3 linked regions of the Styela clava genome follow. The main gene of each other region encodes a partner of the protein of the gene in region 3 in a complex. Links are inferred from orthologs where the notes say so. Each region holds a gene or a part of one and is shown on either strand. Other genes may lie near its edges.

Region 1 (6,088 bases), on a different chromosome or scaffold from region 3:
TTTTGAGTGATGCAACTGTAGTTTCTTGTGTAACATTTTGATTTTTTCTGTTACCAATCACTGTTCCCGTAGCAAAATTTTCTTTGTTGTTAGCAGAAGCTTTTTCTTCAATGAGGTATTGCTCTACAATAATTCTTGCCATTAAACAAGGTGGAATTTCGAAATCATTTGCAATACCAATCAATACAGATTTGCCATTTACATCAGAAGAACCACTGTCAGTGCCATTCGAAACCGCTTCTTTTCCATTGCACAATTTTGCAATTTCACTTGAGGTTTGTTCTATATTTTGTGCGGGTAATTTGTTACTTTTCACTACATTTTGTTTATGATTCATTTGATGTGAGATATTCATTCGTTCTTTATATAATTTGTAATAATATTTCAATTTCTCTTCTTTCATTTTTGAGTGGTACGTCATTTTCACTTTTCGTTGCAAACAGGTCAAAAATATACTCATTAGTGTATGATATTGATATTGAGACCCAAAGTTTGAAATAACATTAGAGAGAACTGTTCTTGGACAATTAGATTTGTGGTAATTGATAAAGTCAAAGATTGTGCTGTATTCTTCCAGCCTCATTCTTCAAATAGATTGAATTTGAAGATTTCTAGCAGCAAACACAAAAAATTTATAATTGAAAAAAAAAATGTGGTTGTAAGCCAAATTGGATATATTTCACTACAAATTTATTTCAGTTTTAAAATTATCCTGTTTACTATGCTACTTGTTTTCCAGTTGGCTTTGGAAGCGAAGCTTGAATTTTCATTAATGCTTGTCTTGTTGTCTCTTGTTTCTTTTCCAAATCCTCAATTGTTTTCTCTTGTCTTTTAAATTCCTCTGTAATATAATCAACTCGTTTTTTCACATTCGCTTTTGCTTCATTCAAATCCTGCTTCACCAATACAGGACCTGTAAGCTTATAAACAGTGGCATCACTTTCAAGAATATCCAACTCTTTTTGTACGAGAGTATTCTCTGTAAGTTGAGCTTCAAGCTGTTGTCGTAGTTTCACACACTTGCCAATAGCTTTTTGATTTTTTTGCAATTCAGAAACGTGACTTTGAAATTCTAGCTGTACTTTTTTATTAACTTTTTCCATCCTGCTATAATATCACAAAAATACAAAAAAGATACGTTACATGAAGAACATGTGGAAGCTATATATACATAAATGTAGAAAATATTGATGAAAAACAGCAAAACATCTGAATATATTGAATATAATGAAAATAAGTCATAACATCACAATATAGCCATTTCGAAAAGACTGCACATTTAAATAACCCCATAAAGTGAAATATCATCCTTCGATAAGTTATTTTTTTAACTGATGGCGAGCTTGACTGTAATCTTTGTCCATGTTGTTCTATTGAGCAATTTGTAAAATGAGTAATTTGAAACTTCAAACAATGATACAACACATAAACATAAAAAAAAAAAAAAACTTAATGACTCCCATGGACAATAATCTCTACTAGGCAAAAACGAATGATCAAACAACACCTTACAAAAGAATAGGTTATAACTGTATACAAAATATAGCAAAAAATCTTGCCAACTTATACATATCATGATTGTATTTTGCAGAAGCTGGCTAATATACAGAAATTAACATTGTGTAAGATATGTCAGAATTTAGTTCTTAATCTAATATCGCAACAAAATGCAAATACTCGATGCACTACACAGAATTCTAGTACTCCATATAGCTTAAAAAGCATTTTTCTAGGAAAGTTGGTAGCATACGTGACGCATTAATTGACTTAATATATTGCAAGAAATGACATGAATATTATTTTGAAACAACTGTCAGAGAAAATTTTTTTATTCAAATAATAAAACTAAATTCATAAGAAACGATTACTAAAACAGACATGATTCCCTCAAAACAAATAACTTGGTGAATGCAGCATAAAATTTCATTAAACATAGAATTACAAAAGAGAAAACGGGCAACAGACGGGCACAATTACATATATGCATTAAAAAATGTACAGACTTGAAATATGTTTTTACAAATATAGCAATTTGCTTCAAAACTATCACAGTTAAAGCTGGACTAAGATACAGGAATGCCTCCAAGGTGCCAATGGTTGGCATATCAGCCTCAAAAGATAGTGTCCAAAATTTTATTCGAGGTTAGTTTTGCATTTCACACAACATAAGTTTTACCCAGGATATAATAATAAAGACAAATTATTCTCAAATAATGAACTTCCATTCCTATCGCAATATTTTGTTAGTTATTTAAAGGAAGATGAGTTCAGAAAATTTGCTGCAAAAGCTTATATTATGTCAATCTGTAATCTTCAATCAATGTCTTCATCAGAATCTTTCTCTTCTGGTAATTGCATATTGTGGACTTTTTGTTGAAAAGGAACCAGATTACCAGTATCTGGATCGATACATACAGGTTTGATAATATCATCACTTGACAATTTCGAAATCTGATTTGCTAATTGAACAGCAAGATATTCTTTCTGTTCTTCCGACATACCTTCCATCGGATTGGGAATATTAGGTGGAATGTGACCAGTAATGGGGTTAATTTTCTCTGCATTTTCTAAATATTCTTCTGTGTCAGAGTCAGAATCACAATCAGAATAAACAGTGTCTCCCTGGCCTCCTGCGAGTAACCCCCTGCTTGCAAGCAATCCCGCAGCATTTCCATAACCAGTGTATTTAACAAGTCTCTCCACCTTCTCTCTGCACAAGACAAATACAAAATCAGCAGCAGCCGCTTTTACTTCTGTGTTAGCATGTGTGAAAAGCTTTATCAATTTATTACGAAATTCTGGTCCAACTTCAGGACGATGCTCAAAATCCTTACGTGGTGGGATAACGTAATTCTTGCAATATTTTCTGACATATCTTGATGTACGACTGATGTGGCTCAGCAGTGAAAGAACAGGTTGCAAGCTTTCAGTTGTCAATGACTTATTGTGAATCTTCAATTCAACTTCTTTTAAAATATTCAAAACAGCACTGAGATCTCTTTCCTCCCATTGCGGGATGTCTTCGCCATTGTATGAAAACACATCATCAGGGTCATACTTGTCAATTAAAGGAATTATCGTATCATCAAGTAAACAAGACCTGGGCACAGTGTATAAACAATTTCCTGCGTCACCATGTAATTTCTCCGTCAAAACTTTGTCATCACCTGCTTGAACCAAATACAATTTACGACAAACTGATGTCAAATCTTCAAATTCAATAGTAATTCTTTCTTCCTTTACTTGACTTTCTTCATGCCGATATTTCAGATTCAAATTGAACAGTGTTCTTAATATTTCACAACAGGATTTTGCATGTGCAGGAGAAATACTAGCTCTGATACATGGCGTAGGTTTAACAACTCTTTTTGATGATGTCAATTTCGAATTCAAATAATCCAACAAGACTCGGCTACCCTCGTGGTTTTCAATAATCTTTGTTCTTGCTTGCACATTGAGCACAGAAACGAGAAACAGCAATCGAAGTGTTAAAAATTCAACTTCAGTATCATTTGATTCATCTTTGGGATCCAGAGATTTCAAACGTTGCAAAATGCCTTTTATAAGTTCATCGTCGCAACAATAACCTTGCGAATCTTTTGAAATGAACATGATATTGCATAGACATTTACTAGCAAGTGTAAACAGTATCTTAGACGTTTCGATGACCGTCATTGCCTTCCCATTTTTATCCAGTAATCCAGCAATCACTGTCAATATCTTCCATGTTTCTCGATTCAAAAATCTTCCATTCATTGACATATGATCTCTAGACATTACGACTAGAGCAGAAAGGCTTTCCACCACATATTCAGATTCTGAGGTGCTTTCACCATCCAGAGAAGACTTTAAAATATCCAATAAATGTGAGACAAATAGTTTTCTTTCTTGCATGTCATTTTTGCCAAAAATGAAAGCGCCACTATTCTTTGCATTGAACTTTTTTAATGCTTCTAATGATTTATCAGTATCATTCTCAGATAATATAGTATTAGGATATCCATTAATAGGTTCCATTGTCAGACTGTGGTTCACACTAAATGAAGGAAATCACTAATACTGTAATAGTATAGTTTAGTACAAGTAATGATCTGAACAGTTGTATATTGAATAATTATGAAAGGAGGATTTCTTAATAATCCTTTCACACATAAGGTATACACCTATTGTGAGAGATAAACAACTTAATTATTCTTTAAACCACTAACCAGAAACACAAAACATAAATAATAGACCAAATGAGTGATTCAAAATAAAATCTTTTATTAATGACTGGGTGGTAAAGAATGAGTTAATCAGATTTTTTCACCACCCAATACATGAATAAGTAATTGAAACTAGTTCAGTACTATTGATCTCTCTATACCAGAATACTGCAATATGTTAAAAGTTATAAGCACCGTACTGCTGGATGAATTTAATCTGACAGAGAAAAATTCTTGAATACCAAGTACAGAACTATTGCGCTATAAACAATGGGGATAAAAATATGTGGTGTGGGGCACGTGGAGTCTAACGAAGTACACGGAGCAAGTTTTTAAATAATGCCAACCAAAAAAAAAAACATGATGTAAAAAAAATAAAGTCCAATATTTATTATTTTTTTATAATAAAAGTAGTCTCGGACAGAAGTTGAGTCAGAACGCTACTGGTATATGGTACTCTATTTCAGTTTACAGTACGACATAGTCTGCCCATACCCTACTGGTATATGATATGGAATATACTGCTGTACTGGCTTAGTTGAAAATCGAGTGGATTTTATTTTAACTAAACGCAGAAACGCATCTGTCAAGTATTTCATTTCCGTCCTAGACAGACTTTAAAAAAAAAATTTCACATCACATTCTGTTTGGGATTATTCAAGCAGTTTCGGTACCAAAGTTACCCCAGCCCACACTCGCTCAGCCCACACTCAGCCTGACGTCAATGGGTCAACCAACTATTTTACCACTTTATAAACGTTAATACATAAAAACTTGGTGGCTATGACAATATAGAGACCATATTGGATATACACAGCGCAAATGCAATACCAAGCACGGACCAGTTACCCCTAGTATGGCCTGTCAAAAACGAGTGTGGGCTAGCGTCTCACGAGTGTGGGCTAGCGTCACACGAGTGTGGGCTGGCATCCTACGAGTGTGGGCTAGCGTCACACGAGTGTGGGCTGGCGTTCTGACAGTGTTATACGGTAAGTTAAGGCATCCTAAACGCTCACAGATTACTAAATTACATATATCCACGTTTACCTCAGCACCAGAACCTCTCAGAGTCCGGCAATTGAAAGCACAAAATGTGGTAGACTAATCCTGTAATCGGAGACTTCATACAAAACCAGCTTGGCCATATTTTTTTAATACGGGAAACTTATTATTTTTTCTTCGCTGCTCACTGTTTAGAAATCAATACCGGTACCGGTACGGTATTCAATTTAACAACGGCAATCGCCTGACCTTTATAAAATACCGGTACCGTAATTACAATCTGAATATATAAAGTGTGTCACGTACTGAAGAACTGTACCGGTACGGTATACAACTAAATAAAAAGATTTTGATAATTTTAAATATACCGGCTGCACCCGTACCGACACCATACGGTAACTCAGTAACTAGCCTCCTCCCACACCAAATAAAAAGGTCCAGACGAAAACGGACTCTTGCGCGAATACTAACCCTATACTTATATTTTTGCGACTGGCGTTATGCAAAACAAACATTTGCGAGAATGCAATCGCAGAAACAACTTAGCGACAATGAATGAGCAGATAGATGGATAGATAGAAGTTTATTCATCACCCAGTCATTAGCCAACAAATCAAACACAAACAACAACATTCAATAAGTAAAAGAAGAATAAATCGACTAACAACGGAATTGATAGGAGGTTGGAAGGACCATACGGTCACTAAATCAAGCAGCGAATAAATTTTTGAGAAAAAGAAAGATATTCATATTTGATTTATCCTGAAAATAAGGGGAACCAATATAATAGGACAGCCGTGTGTATATGTATATATATAAGTTTATTTTGTTTTTGCGAATGAATCGAAATAAAATCTATCTATCAAGATGCACACATATAG
Region 2 (7,941 bases), on a different chromosome or scaffold from region 3:
TGGAAATTTATATCCATAAAAACTATAGTCGTAATTTGCCCACCCCTGGGTAAGACTCACCACGTTGACCTGTAGGTAAAAATCTGGTTTCAAGTCCCATACCCACCAGCTTAGAGAGGGCATAATAAATTGGGTTGACAATGCTGCACCAGATAAACACAGGTCCATATGAAACAGTAGCATCGTACATATCTGTAGATACTTGTTCAGAGCTTAAGTCAGAGTGAATACATATATAACTGTTGTGTAAACAACCTCAACATATAACGCTGAAGACTTCACGACACAATGTTTAAAAAACAGTAAGTTAACAGTAAATTTATCAATCATCTTATATAAATTAAAAAGCAAGCATTTTATTACTTTTCGTATTGGGTGTAGCATAACTACGACATGTATTCAGGTTTTATTGGCAACTTTATTTTACTTACCTCAATATAATCGAGAGAATCCACTATTAAGTCTGACAGAGTTTTGAACTTTCTCAGCTGAATGTGAAAATAATATAAAATATTAACAATAGCAAGTCAATCCCAGACAAACCAAGGTCCAAGGCAACTGAAAATTCTCAGATACTGTGTTCTGTGTATATAACATACTTTCAACAGTGGCGATAGGTAGTAATAGCATATTTAATATTTATCCCACACGAGAGGGAAAGGCGATAAAGTTACTTTGGTGGGCCATAAAACTAACTTCAGACATCTAGCTGAGCCACATAAACAAATAAGTTTTTCTATGCACACAATGAATTGGAAAATTAGCTGCAACCAGAAAGCAAAGAGAATACGGCCATTGCTTAGCCTTCCAGTAATAAAGTCACCGGGCAAAACGGCGAAAGATTTAGGGCAGCGACAAGAGCAAATATCAATACACATATTTTTACCCATGTGAACGTCTTTTTAAACATGCACTGTGGGATTGGGATTTTATGCTTGATGAGTGGGGGGCGAATACACGGGCCACACCAACTGCTTGATGAGCTGGGTTCGGGCCTGCGGGCCACATGTTGCACACCCCTGGTTTAACTGCTCCTAAACCCATGTGGGTGGTGGAATTCAGTGTCAACAAATACCTCCCACCATATCATGCTGACCAATTGTGCACTTGGTAAAAAGATACAAAAACAAGAATTATACTTGAACAAACCTTCTTATAAACTCTGAACCATTGTTTCTTACAATCTTCAGCTGAGAAACGACCCATCTTTACTTTGTCCCATTCAAATTTTTCTAACATCGTTTTATATTTAGAAACATCTGGATTCGGAATAGCCTAAAATAAGAAACTTAATTGAAGATTCATGATTACAGCAAATTGGCATTGATATATATTAGTTGATAACTGAAAATGTGATGGATCTGTTCATGGCATCCAATGAATTTTATTAAACATATAAATAATAATTTTTCATTTATCAATAAAAAAATTGATCTACTATAATATCTCCTAATATACCTGCTTCATTTTATTTAAAAGTTCTTTTGTTGTGGCATCTGTCCATCCATCCTCACTCCCTGCAAAATTGTAAATATTAATGTCATTTCCATGAATTTTAAATTTCTGTAAGTTTTTATTGAAATACTTCAACATTCCTTCAAACTATGATTTAACAGTAGTTTAAAGATCACCTATTCATTTGTAATATTTTACTTTACAGATTACTTTGAAGTTTCAACATCCATCCTCATTTAAAAAGAGACATAATATTTGGATGGCGAAGTCAGGTAGGGGTTAGGATTGACATGTGCAAAAATTGTTATGCCGCGTCTACTAGAAGTACATGCGGTACGAAACTACACAAGACATGATTTGAGTTGATAACAATATGTTGATTTACCAATACAATTGTTTTTAGTTGCCCCTTTCATATTCAAATCAGAATATCAATCTGAAGTTCCCAATGTTGACAAATGCTCTAAAAAATAAAAACATTATTAGACACTTGCACTCATAGTTCTGAATTATTTAAAACAGTCAAATGGATAATTTGCATGAAAAATGAGCAACCAATTGGATTTGGAACGAACATGGTTAGCGTTATTTATACCATTGAGGTTATAGCATGTTACAAGAATACATGTGAAGTTTACAACAATGATTAAGATTGAAAAAGGATTATTTTGTACTTGGAAATTGGGATGCTTTAATGTGAAAGTTGATAAATTATATATTATACAGGGTGTCCAAAATATTTCGCCGGATTTTATAGTAACTGAGTAAAAACAATTAAGAATTTCACCGGATTTTATAGTAATAACAATTGTGAGTTAGAATTAAAAATTTTATTTTATGAAGTCAAAAACAAAAAAAATTAATTGCTATTACTATAAATTCGCGGGAAATTTTTCGGACACCATGTATTTTTCTAATAGGGTGGTCTCGCGCTTACCATGATTGAAATTTCGCGCTCTGATGGTTGAAATGAACTATGATGAAAATGCCTTCTTTCTCTGCGAAACGCGAGAGAAATATGGCGGACCTCGATTGCAAAGTTTACCTCGCTATCTCGTTTAACGAGACCACGAATTGACCAGTTCAGTTAGCAAGATGTTGTTCAAAATTTATCTCACAAGGGTACATTCATTGTAAAACACATACCAGTACCTTACTTTTAAAGTCGCGATGTCTGAGTAAACTTTATTAGTACTAATGCATGATGAAAACGCATCTTACCTTCAGTTTTTCGCCGATATCGTGCGTGTTTTTGCAGTTTTACGAGTCGCTGCAGTCTTCTGGTCTGGGTTGTCTTTTATATTTGATGTCGACAGAAGTACCGTGGCCTAGTTTATTGCTGTATTTCCGAATTCCAGTGGTCGTTTTTAATCGTCTGCTAATTTGATTCTGTGAGCTCAAACTATCGTGCGATCTGAACTGGTTGCACACGCCCTCCTCGTAATTCTGTACTAACGCTTTGAAACTGCAATACGCCACGCCAGACAGACGGGCTCACGCAAATCGATAGCGACGCCCAATCAGAACGCTCGATTTCAGGCCGCTTGTCTGTATTTTTCCCGGTGTATCTATCTCGGCATTTCGAGAGACATCAGCCGAAAAAAGCACTGCGAGTCGCCGAAAACATCGACTTTCTTCGGCGGCAGCGACTCTTGGAATTCAAAACAAAAGGGAGAATGTTGGAATTTTGAAATAAAGCGCAAAAGCTGCCTTTATAATCATAGTTTGAAGCCGTATTCATTTGAGTATTTCAAGTTGCAGATGTTTCAAGTCATAAATATGTGTTTTCCTCAAAGCAATTGTTACAAACCTGCAGTTTCGGCTTTTTGGGTTAACTGAAGCCCTCGGACTGTCTTCATTTTGTTAGGGTCTTGGGGGTCTGAACAGGTCGCACACAATTTCTGAAAATGAGTCTTCTTCAGCCTAGTAGGATACGTACCAGACATGGTATAGCCAACGATTATAATTTTTATCTGCCCACGTATAAACCATAATTAACATAATACTGAAACTGGCTTTGAACGCACTCGGAAGACTAAAAGCACCTACTTTGGGCTTTATGAATCAAACTAACGGTATAATGAGTAAAAGTAATATGGAGTGGCAAAATATGTAAGTATGCATAAAGTCCATGCATAATTTGATCATAGCTTCTAAGGTTAGGATTTACATATTTATCCCGGGGGAGAGGAAAGCCGCTAAGACGGCTCATCCATATGGCGAACCACGGCCTCTCGTCCGGTTACCATTCCAAGTCTGGTATGGGATTAGTTATATTGTTTGCTTTCGGAAGCATGGACTTAGTGGTGGAGGAAGCCGTAACCGACCAGCGGTTACGTAACGAAAATCCCAGGGACGTTTCTGCCACATAAACCATAGCAAAATATACCAGATGGTTAAACTTCAATTGAAGTTCTAGCACTAGCTGCAATTTATAAAATTGGAGGTCTGTGAAAAGTCGATGTTAGACAATATCTGATAGTTATCACGGACTGCAACCTAATTAATAAAAAGTACCTACCAAGCCAATAAGTAAATAGTCTTTCACATCATGAGCCCAAGAACATCAGTCACAAATCAAAACAAAATAGCATATAAAAAGCGAAAAAATCCATATCTTTATTGACCATTGAGTTGAAATAAAGCGGAAAACAGACAAATAAGAACATCATGCCAGCACCATCAAGTTTGGCCAAGAAAAAGAAGTAACACTTAAATGAAACCAGAAGTCACCAGAAAGTGCTCTTCAATGTTCTGAATATTTACGATAAAATTGTCACGACTACCAAAATTCACCAAGCCACAAGAATACCAGTGGAAATCATCCACATTTTTTTTATCACGTTTTCAAGAAATTAAAATTGCAACAATTTTTCAAATATTGTGTTGTCCATTTTACCATGTGTACCATTTTTGTCAGAGATCAGTGATCGGATCGAAAAAACAAACCGCATTTATTTGAATTATGGTAAGAGAAATTCCAACAAATATATAAATTACTTTATTTGATAATATCGTTCAAAAGAAATCCAACCCTATGACTGATTTTCCAATAAGCTGTGAATCATACCAAACTCTGTGGGTTTTGATAGAGAAGGCCTGACTTGAAATCCAGGAGGTGGCTGTGAAGGCACAAAACCTGAATTAGAAAATAAGCCAGGCATCCCAGGCCACGAGGGCATACCACTGTTTGTTGGGCGCTGTGAAAAAAGTTGGTTCATATTAGAGTTATTCGAAGGTGGGATAGGGTGGATTGGACTGTCGGGCTCAGTTAAAGCTTGCAGCGATTTCATCCAATGTGGCTGATCCTCGTTATTATTGTGCGAAGATTTGTTTTGTGGATTTTCAAATAGTCTATTACGCCTCATTGTGGGTCCGTAACCTGGCACGCCTCCTTGAATTATGGCAGGATCGGGTGGGTAGGATGGCATTGTACCACCAGGCATAGGATTAGATTCAGAGCGGTTTCCACCAGCAAATAAGGACTGCAAACTAGCAGGGCTAACAAGTCTGTTCGAGGACATTCCAGGTGTGGACATGGAAGATTCAGGGCCACCCCATTGCTGTCTTGATGGCATAAAAGAAGATGACCTGCCAGGAAAACCCACCCCAGGTGGGGGCATGATATTAGATTTGTTGAAAGGGGGATGGGGATTCATACCAGAGCTTGAAATCCCTGGTGGGTGAGGAATATTAATATGTTTGTTATGTTCTGCTGGCATACCTAAGCTGGATAAACCTAAAGAGGAATTATCGACAGGCCTTGAGTTAGGTCTCTGAATTTGTCCTTGAGTTGCAAAATTGATATTTACGCTCGGCAGCAAAGCCCTTAGTCCATTTTGCCAATCTGTAATATTTGCAGGATTTTTATTCATTTGATCTTTGTTCGGAGTAGGTGGGCCCCCATGGTTTATAAAACCCTGCTTTTGATAGTTCGCAGATCCCAAAAATTGTTCTTATCTGATGGATCGATTTGTTGGAAGGGATTGGAAACTTTTTGTTGTTGATTGTATCGATTTTGCTCGAACTGACGTTGTTGTAAATTATCGTATTGGAAAGGCATTTTGTGCTGTTGAGAATGCTGGGATGTTCCATGCATCATAAGATTGGAAAATCCATTAATGAGATCATTCCCGCCAGGAAATCCAGCCTATAAAATGAATAAAACAAAAATGTATATCAAGCTTCAAATATGCTTCTAGATCGAAAAACGAGATTCGAAAAAAAAAAAAACATTTTACCTGATGTACACCCGAATGGTTGGGATTATGTAAAGATGTTGGTCTTCTTTGTGTTGCAGATATATCGGAAAACGTTGGGTTTGAATTAAATGGAAAGGTATTGGTTGAATATGGAATCTATAAACAAGAAAACAACTTTAGTTTATTAGATTTAAATTGACGAAAATGAACTTTTTTATGGTTAGTCCATGGGTGGCCAAAAACGAATGATCTTCTATTCTAAATACATTCTGAAATAGTATGTAATTAGTAAAATGTATCAAATATAAATTTAAAAAATTTATACTTACTTATTTATACTCATTTATACTGTGAAATATTCGTTGCTAAAAATGATCATTTTTCGAATTTTAACTAGGATATATTATTCAGAATATCAAAAATTTTAAATATTGAACATAATTTCAATTCTATTTTTCGATTCATTCCGATTTTTTCAATTCGATTTCATTCGTCTTTGGAGTTTGCACAAGGTTATAGACACACAACCACGTAGTAGGAAGTTAAAAGAATGTTCTTGATACTGATTCTTATTTTCAGTATGATGTTGTGTTATTCAGTAATTTGTCGAGTGCCTATAATTTTTCAATTAGTTTAATGCCTCATTTGCTACTGGGCTAAAATAGGCAAAAATTAGTAATTCTGAAAAATTGCTGCTCTAAGAATCCGATCAGCAGTTCTTTCCAATTTGCCAAATATGAGCATAAATCATAATTTTTTTTGAAAAGTGGATCATTAATTGAAAAATTTAAAATCTAAATTATAAATCTAAATCATAAAAATACAAATCCAAGTTCTTGCACATTTCTTCTTACATTGTTAATATGAACAGCTCCAGTCTCTTGCGTCTTTTCTTTTTCCATCAAATCAGCCAACCCTTTGCTACATTCAACCCATGGATCGAATCCTAGATCGTCATCTGCTGATGGAAGAACTTCTTTTGCAGATGATTTGAATCCAAATATTGCTTCCCAATCATTTGTACTTTTAATAGGCATGCTGTCTGTAATATACAAATGAGAAGTTCTAAAAATGTGTAAGTATTTGGAATGGGACATGATCAGGGTCACCCAAATAAAACAGTAAGTACAAGGTCATTTGGAACATATTCTAGAGCAGGAGTGGGCAATTTCTTTTTTGAGTGGGCCAGGTACCGATGATAGACTTGGTTACTGGGCTAGAAGCTCTAAACTCAATACAAAAAACTATGAATAAAAAAAGAGCTTATTTACAACAACCAGTCCATCAGCTAAGCTGACGTAATGACGCTCATATAACAATAAGAAGCACAATGTAACAATCGGGATCATCATGACTTTATTTTTATCAATATTTTCAACGGAAATTTATATCCATAAAAACTATTGTCATAATTTCAGCAGACCGGATGAAACACTTCGATGGACCGTAATCAACCAACCCCTGTTTTAGAGAGAACATAACTTTTGTGCGAAACATCATCAACTGCTGAAACTTTTGGGCACAATCATACATCATCAGAAAAGTATTAAAAATTTCTTCATTTTCATAAATTGATGGGTTTTTTTTTTTGGGTCACCCTGTAGTGGATACAAGAGATTTTGTTGCAAAAAAGGTCAGCTGCTATTTTTAGGTTGAAAAAAATCTTGAATCCAATTCTGCAAGCCTCAATCAAACAGACAGCTGACCTGAAAGTTGTTCAGTGAGAGCCCATCAAGGGCAATAGGCAACTGCCGAATAACATCACGATTGGTTATTTGGTCTACCTCTTATTATCCAATTTTCTTTCTAATTAACAGGGCGACCTTCCGCACAAGTATTTCTCATATTGCCAAATAGGGAAGTTTTTCAAACTCATTATCATTACTCACTCTTTATTTCAAACTCATTTTTGTCTTGCTTATCAAAGTCATCATTTCCTCCCACTTTCAATAATTTCAAAGCATTGTGATGAAACAGTCACAAGTATATAGACAATAGACAAAAACGAAGATCTGATAAAACTAGCACTTACCTGATAGGTTGTGGGGGTTACTTGATGGCCAACCCCTCAAATTATTAGCAGGCTGAATTCCAGCTAACCCTGGTGGTGGAGGTGGTATATTGCGTGATGTTGGTTGTGCCGCTGGTAACCTGAATTGAGATAAAGAAGCATTTGTGCTAAACGAACAATGCATTGTTTTCAAAAGAATCTATAAATATTGGAAGTTCTGAAAGTTGGCATGTAATATGTATATGTATGAAATAAGACTGGAGGCAAAATAGC
Region 3 (7,982 bases):
CTGCAATTATTTCTGATTGGGTATGGGTAAGAGTTAATGTAACAAACAAGGAAATCGATGCTCCAGGAAATCCTAATGTTAAGTAGCTAAGTACAGGTAACACAGTAATAGGCTATTGTTCAATTGTTACACACTAAATACTGAAATATTGTATTTCATATGATTTTAATAATAGACACTAGAATAGACTTGAAAAACGCCAAAAAGCCAAACGGAAATTCTGACGCCAAACGCGTTTGAAAAAAGCCAAAAATGGCAAATTTGGCGTTAAAAAAGCCAATATGGCAACCCTGCCTTTTAGCACCTCTGATTACCGCCTACCAAAGCGTATATATAATATAAGCTAGGCAACGCTCAGACAATGGACGCCATCTTGTGCCTATTGTTCTCGGCAATTTAACACAGCGCCCTATGAGAAGTTCCAACACAAATATTGAAACATACCTATTATTTTTACTAATATTTTAAGTAGAAAAATTTTGAAGGTCGCGTTTTGAAGTAGAATCTTAGCCGAACATGTTTATATCTTGTCATGTTGGCCAAATTACATTTATAGTACATTAAATTGTCCTTGAAGACAAGTATACCGGTTCCAGTTGCTTCCGAAGTAGGATTGGCCATTCTAATCGTCATAATTACCCATTTGACAATGGCGTTCCTTATGACGTCACAGATGTAAAGTTGTATTTATTCGTGCTCCAATGGCCGTTTCTATTTTCTGGTTAACATTTTTCGTCTGTCAAGCTCAATAATGCCTTACTGCTCGGCTCCAAGCTGCGCTAGAAGAACAAATGATATTGTAGGATTGTTGCAGAGACATTTTACTGCCTCAGATTAGCGTATCACTGTAAAATCTTTATAAAAAAGAACCAAAAATGGTTCTACGCTGTGTTTGGGGTCATATTTAACGCATTAGATTGTTTTTTATTCTTAATTGCGTTATATATTCAGATAGCATATATCTCAAAGTTCAAAATCCACCCTTCAGTTTCTTTCTAGTCCTTATAACAGCGGACTTCGGTACAACAACACGACGAAAATTTCCCATAAGACTGCATTGTTTCGCGTTTGGGAAATATGGCACAAGATGGCGTCCACGAATTTGTTTAACCCATTGAGGTGTATATAACACCTCAATGGTTTAACCAAAGCCCATGTGTTTAACATTAGGCAAGTTTTTTTTTTTTTATTATTATTATTAAAAACATCACTTTTTATCCACACGATATAACACATAAACACAATTGCACTTTAAAACAAGAGAGCTATGCTCAAATATATGGACACGTAGAGTCACATAATTTTGATGACGTCATAGCGAAAAAAGAAGTAATAGCCTTCTGGAGAAAATTTTTATCTTTAACCACTAAAAATTTCAAAGCAATTGGTCCAGTATTCGAAGAGAAAAGCGACTTTTTAAAAACGTGTCAAGCGGTACTGAGTTAGCAGTCAGGCAGCATCTTACCTGTACACTGTAGGCCATATACGGTAATTGATCACAGAACAGTTGTTCCCTTGCAAATTTTATGTTGTTTACACTTTAGGACAGATAATTGATCACAGAACAATTCTTCCCTTTCAAATTTTATGTTGTTTCCAGTAGACTCTCATCAAAATAAACAAATATAGTAGGCTACAAGTGCTACAACGCTTGCATTACTGCACTGGTAGGACCGTGAAAGAATAAGTTACGGTAATTTCATTGTGGTAAGACACCGGTACCGGCACCAGTACCAGTATCGTACTTACGTACTGAGCTACCAGTACCGGTTAGCAGTCAGCCAGCATCTTACCTGTACACTGTAGGCCATATACGGTAATTGATCACAGAACAGTTGTTCCCTTGCAAATTTTATGTTATTTACACTTTAGGACAGATAATTGATCACAGAACAATTCTTCTCTTTCAAATTTTATGTTGTTTCCAGTAGAATCTCATCAAAATAAACAAATATAGTAGGCTACAAGTGCTACAACGCTTGCATTACTGCACTGGTAGGACCGTGAAAGAATAAGTTACGGTAATTTCATTGTGGTAAGACACCGGTACCGGCACCAGTACCAGTACCGAACCTGTAGGTCTGATATTCCGTTCCGCATACGATAGGCTATAAAACTTGCATTGCAGCATTAGTAATACCGCGGAAGGAATAAGTCAATTTCACTGCGTTACGGCACCGGTATGGCAACTTACCAGTACCGACCTACAGTAGCTGTAGTACTGAGCAAGACAATCGATCGCGAAACCGCTTGAAATAAGTGCAAAACAGTGTTCCCATGAGTAAAAATAAATACCGCGAAATTTTGTATGAAATATCATATCTCATAGGATTCATATAAAATTTAAGAATAAACAAAAGTAATAGCCTTCTAGCGAAAAAATTAATCTTCAACCACTGAAAATTTCAAAGCAATTGGTCCAGTATTCGAAGAGAAAAGCGACTTTTTAAAAACGTGTCAAAGAACAAGAACAACAACAAGAACAAGAACAACAACAACATAATATTGAAACGATCGTTATGTCCACTACGTGTCCAAAAATGAGTTCATGATAACTTTCCACTTCTTAATGTGGTTCAACAGTTTACATTTTCTAGTTGCAATAATTTTTTCACAGTTAAATATACTTTTTATCATATATAAAAATTGATCAAATTGAGGCCTTTCATTACGTAGTTTACATTTATAGATATAATATCGTGCACTCAATAAAACACAGTTTATACCTTGGTTTTGCTCTACCCCCATTAAAATTTCTCTATATGTCAGATTAAGATTTAAACCATATTCAACAGTTAGCCGTGCATTAACTATTTTCCAAAATTGTTGCACAAATTCACAGAAATAAAATAAATGAAACATGGTTTCAACATTCCTTTCACAAAATGTACATTTCGGACTTGATGTCTTATTTATCCTAAATAATAGGTCATTTGTAGGTACTGCTCGCAAAGCAAGTTTAACATGGAAGGATCGAAGTCTCGATTCAATAGTGCAATTAAAAACTTTTTCATACTGCGTCAACCAATTATCCAAGTTCTGCACAGTTCATTTGACCATTTTTCTATTTTCTCCTTAGGCATCAAGATTTTTACATTACGAAGCTTATCATATATGTATCTGGAAGTTTTATTGATGCTTCTAATATCTTCCAATAGACTAAGATGTGGATTGGCTTGAGGGGTTTTTACTAAAATGTTTTTCCATGCTTGGGGTATACATGATAAAACTTTTAAATATGATTGCATGTCATTATAAAAATCAGAAAAGCAATAATGATGAAAAATGATTGGAAACATTGCAATTTGGTGTTTAGAATCACAGATATCTTCAATGAAACAAATACCCTTTCTATTCCAATCTTCAATATATGACATTTTCCCTTTACTTGATATCTTTTTATTGAACCACAGTGGTTCATGCAAGTGACTTACATCAGTAACAACTTTAGATTTGAAAATATGCCAATAGCATAGAGTATCTCTTAAACATCTCGACTTAATGTTTTTAATAAATATTCCAAATGGATATACATTTCCATAGAACAAATTCATTCCTCCATATAAATTTAGAAAAAAAAATTCTATAGATTTCCACGAAGCATCAAATTCATCATTTACTAAAAATTTAACCCATCTTAATTTAAGACCAATAAAAAATGATTCAATATCTATCATATTAACCCATCCCAGAGTATCTCTTAAACATCTCGACTTAATGTTTTTAATAAATATTCCAAATGGATATACATTTCCATAGAACAAACTATTGGGAAGTCTCATTGGTAAGGTGGATAATACATATACTAGTGTACTCAACATAAGGGGTTTGATTACCGTAATTTTTTCAAGGAAATCAAGATTTCTTCTTGACCATAATTGTGCAATCATTTTCATTTTCTGGTGTAGCAAGTACATAAGAATAGTTACTGTGTATTGTAATATTTTCACCACTTATTGTTAGCAGTGCATGTTATTTGCCTGAAACAAGGTCGTTGTCCCAATTCATTTCCTTTATGATATATTTTTCTCGCTCAGTGTAGCTTGTCTTTGCCGTTCTTTGTTAGTTAGAAATTTGGTTTCATCACATATACTTGCTTTAAGGTTTCAAGTGTAATTCGTTATTTGGATCAATTCGATTGTGCAACTTTACAATATAACAATTGGCATTCAATACATTGTGTGCTTTTTGACCTCTGAAGGAGTCAAGATCGGAGTTACACTCTGTTAACGTGTGTTCAATAACACGGGAGTGTAGACACGCAGATAGGGTCGAATCTTTGTTGCCCTATACTGGAGTTTTGGCAAAATATTCACAGTATAAAGGTCAGCATCATTTTCAAATATAAAAATACCCAACAATTTAAAATCTTTTGAGTTCCACTCAAGTCCTCGATCTTTCATAGGACAATTTTGGCAATGATTGTTTCCCCCCAGGTACAAAGCTTGGCATTTGCTCATGTTAATTTTGCATCCAGACATGGAATAGAAAATATCGGTTTCATAAAATATTGTTTTGATGCTTTTTTCTGAGCCATCAGAATACACAGAACATTAGGCAAGTTGGTGCCGGCCGTTGCAGCCTACCGGTATGGTATTCGAAGGTTCTAGATTGCTGGACTCCTCGCTGTCGTAGGGCAAAGGGCTGTGAGGTGATTCACGTACGGTAACCGCTGGTCAGTTACGGCTTCCTCCGCCATCAAGTTTGTGCATAAGAACTTGAATAACTGGCTGACTAAACACTAAACCTATTCCAGTACAGCAGTGTTCTTGGCATGGACTGGTAACCGGACGAGAGGCCTTGGTTCAACATATGATTTGAGTCGTATCGCATTTCCTCTCATCGGAAAAATATGTAAATCCTATTTCTGTAAATCCTATACCGGTACCGTATGTCATGAAGTTACCGTACCGGCAATAACCTTACTGCTTCTGTTTTTGCAGACTTTATATGCCATTTCATAAAAAGTAACCTAAGTCTGTAAGTTAACACTTTAACTTCAATACCAGAATTATTATCAAACAGCCTCTAAGGTACCCTACTTGCTATATTACTTCAAGGTACTATCTGACTATTGTAACTTTGAACATCTTGTGTAATGGATGATGAATCGGAAACATACAGGCTATGGAGAATTCGAAAAACAGTGATGCAGGTAGATAAGATATAATATGGTACGGTATACATATATCCAGATATCAGAAATATAGTACTGTAGTACTGTAGTATGAATAAGTAGTAAAACTTGGGTATCGTTTGCATTTTTCAACATCCCTCATTGTCATTCTGTGGGTTGACAGGTTGATGAAGATGCAAACAATATCTAAATTTTACTACTTATCTATACTCTGTTTTCTGAAGAAATGAACGCTCTATGATGAGTACCTGAAAAGCAAATCAAAATTAAAACTGTATACTTACTTTTGACTTGAGACACCCTGCACATAGTATATGTTTGTAACATTCTTAATATAATATTGAATACTGTTGAAAAGATAAATTGTTTGAGTACTTGAGCATGAATAGTCGCTGATATATGGGATTCGTGAATCATAGTCAGGACAGAGTTAGGCAAATACATGCATGCATTATTATTTGTTGATTGAGTATGACAGTATGAGAAAAAAAACTGTGCACATTTTGTCTATTTCATCGAGTCCCAACAAATGTTACGTCTTTTCAAGCTCTGTATCTCTTATATTCATTTTGCTCATTCTTCATTTGCTAGTAATGTTAACAAATAAAGTCTGGGTATAAGTAAAAGTAACCTTTTAATTTGACGCAAACTGCTGTGTTTCTAGCTGTGTCATGATAGGGGATACCTGGTAACTCAACATGAACTGGATCAAACATTGGAAGAATTTAAAGAAGAATTTGGCGACAAACCAAGTGAAAGGCACCCAGCTAGACAAGAGTTGACTGTTCTTGTTGCACATAATGATGATCCTACAGATCAGATGTTTGTATTTTTTCCAGGTATGATTACATATCATTATATCATTCACAGACGTTTTGTACCATATAACCACAGACTTTACTTACTACTAGGGGGCATGAGACAGTTTGAGTTCTGGTTTTCAGATGCCTTGTGAGTTGCTTAAAAATAGTTATATACAAATACGTGTGAATTTATATATATTTATTCTCCACCATAGCGGCATATACCAGCAACGACCCATAAGTATGCCCAAATGTCCCATAAATCTATGTGTATTTGCAAATTATTATTTTTAAACAGCTCCCGAGATGAGTGTGAGACAAAATCATACCCTCAATCAGTCTTGTGACTGAAAAGGTCTGTAGCGTGATAGGTGATTTGTCATTAAGCTTTCTAATATGCTCTCCTGTTCACAGAGGAACCTAAAGTTGGTATAAAAAATATCAAGATGTATTGTCAAAGAATGCAAGAAGAAAATATTCAAAGAGCAGTCATAGTTGTTCAGTCTGGAATGACGCCGTCTGCCAAACAATCTCTGGTTGATATGGCCCCTAAGTATATTCTTGAACAATTCCTTGAGCAAGAGCTGCTGATTAATATAACTGAGCATGAGGTGAGTTATTTTATTGTTACAATGCAACAAATGTATCTGATCAGCATATTTTGTTGATAATATAAGATGCTAGCTACTTGGAATTCTATTAAAATTATTGTTGCACAAAATTTATTTCTGTGTGTTGTCTTCTGCTTTTGAGTGTCTTACGTTTCAGCAAAGAAAGCTCACATGAATATGTTTAATCATATAATGGTTTCAAGTATGTTAGTTTTCTATCGTAGCATTGATAGATTTCATTGCTTTGCCAGCATAATGAAGCCAAATAGAAACAACAACACACAATTCATTAAATTTCAGATGTTGGTGCGACAGTGTCCATTGTAGTTTATAACGTAGCGCCTTCCATTTTGGATTAAGTAGACAATTTAGCAATCATTATTTTTATAACCGCTTCACGATTTTCATTCATCAGGATCATTGAGCTAGAGACACAAGTAAATTTTTACTGACTTGATCCTGTTCTATTCAACACTGGTAATTTAGGATTTGAATATTGTTGTTGTTGGTATACTAAAACCTCGAAACTGAATTATCGAGAACTTGCTACAAAGAAATTGTTTTTTAGAAAGCCACATATCAGCTGAAAGTAATTTGAAAAGAGGAATTAAGATTTTCTTGATTGGAAATTCCCATTTTTTTATATAAGCGGAGAAGTTGAAATATTTTGCGACAGACAGAAAATATGTTTTCAATGTCTGAAAAATTTGTCAATGCTATCTCATGAGAGAAGGAATGCCAGTGCAGCTCCATAGTCGTGTAGTTTTCGTGTTTCGTTACCCTTCCAAGTTGGGCATGGTTATAACCGGCAAGTTAAAGATACCTGGCAGGGACAATAACGTGATCAGAGACTCTAGCTAGAATATGTCTGTAACGAATCGTGTTGTGATATTTCATTCCCTTTAATAATATGGATGCTTCTCTTACAGCTTGTTCCTGAGCATGTCGTTTTGAATCCTGAAGAAAAAGCGGAGCTTCTTGCTAGGTATAAATTGAAAGACCATCAACTACCTAGAATTCAGGGTGGTGATCCTGTGGCTAGGTATTTTGGATTGAAGCGTGGACAAGTAGTTAAAATTGTGCGACCAAGTGAAACTGCCGGAAGATACGTAACATATAGATTGGTGCAATGATGCAGATATCAATTATAGCAGTCACATTGTAGTATTGAGAAGACTAACTCAATGGGGAGTTTGGAAGTAATGTTGATGTTTGGGAAAAAACTCCTTTGGCAATCATATGTTCTCAGAATGAAGTAAACATTTCAACAAAGGGTCATGAAAGGTAGAGCATAAAAGTGAAGGGCGCTTATTCCAGGATAACCAAAATTTGAGTATTCCGCACAATAAAATGAAATACATTATGGCATTATTTTTTGACATTTAGAGGTGAATCCCACCGTAAGTGGGTTATTTGGGAGGTAGATTTGCG

What was found. Proteins that work in one complex are often made in the same cells at the same time.
Region 1: DNA-directed RNA polymerases I, II, and III subunit RPABC1 (region 3) and uncharacterized protein LOC144421013 share a complex: the UniProt entries of both Homo sapiens proteins name them as parts of the PAQosome complex. The link is inferred for Styela clava from reciprocal best matches to the Homo sapiens genes POLR2E and PFDN6.
Region 2: DNA-directed RNA polymerases I, II, and III subunit RPABC1 (region 3) and nucleolar transcription factor 1-like share a complex: the UniProt entries of both Homo sapiens proteins name them as parts of the pol I pre-initiation complex. The link is inferred for Styela clava from reciprocal best matches to the Homo sapiens genes POLR2E and UBTF.

Annotation. Positions count from the first base shown.
Region 1 is NC_135252.1:15,383,247-15,389,334, forward strand, and holds uncharacterized protein LOC144421013, read right to left. Parts: upstream 1,109-6,088; 5' UTR 1,104-1,108; coding exon 720-1,103; 3' UTR 584-719; downstream 1-583. Other genes in the region: uncharacterized protein LOC120343245, read right to left, coding at 1-583; chaperone Ric-8A-like, read right to left, coding at 2,314-4,017. UniProt on the Homo sapiens protein: Binds specifically to cytosolic chaperonin (c-CPN) and transfers target proteins to it. Binds to nascent polypeptide chain and promotes folding in an environment in which there are many competing pathways for nonnative proteins.
Region 2 is NC_135255.1:6,649,174-6,657,114, forward strand, and holds the start of nucleolar transcription factor 1-like, read right to left. Parts: upstream 3,081-7,941; 5' UTR 2,677-3,080; intron 1,919-2,676; 5' UTR 1,872-1,918; coding exon 1,841-1,871; intron 1,518-1,840; coding exon 1,459-1,517; intron 1,276-1,458; coding exon 1,150-1,275; intron 489-1,149; coding exon 432-488; intron 1-431. UniProt on the Homo sapiens protein: Recognizes the ribosomal RNA gene promoter and activates transcription mediated by RNA polymerase I (Pol I) through cooperative interactions with the transcription factor SL1/TIF-IB complex.
Region 3 is NC_135259.1:2,953,290-2,961,271, forward strand, and holds DNA-directed RNA polymerases I, II, and III subunit RPABC1, read left to right. Parts: upstream 1-4,927; 5' UTR 4,928-5,098; coding exon 5,099-5,155; intron 5,156-5,801; coding exon 5,802-5,976; intron 5,977-6,354; coding exon 6,355-6,551; intron 6,552-7,480; coding exon 7,481-7,684; 3' UTR 7,685-7,914; downstream 7,915-7,982. UniProt on the Homo sapiens protein: DNA-dependent RNA polymerase catalyzes the transcription of DNA into RNA using the four ribonucleoside triphosphates as substrates.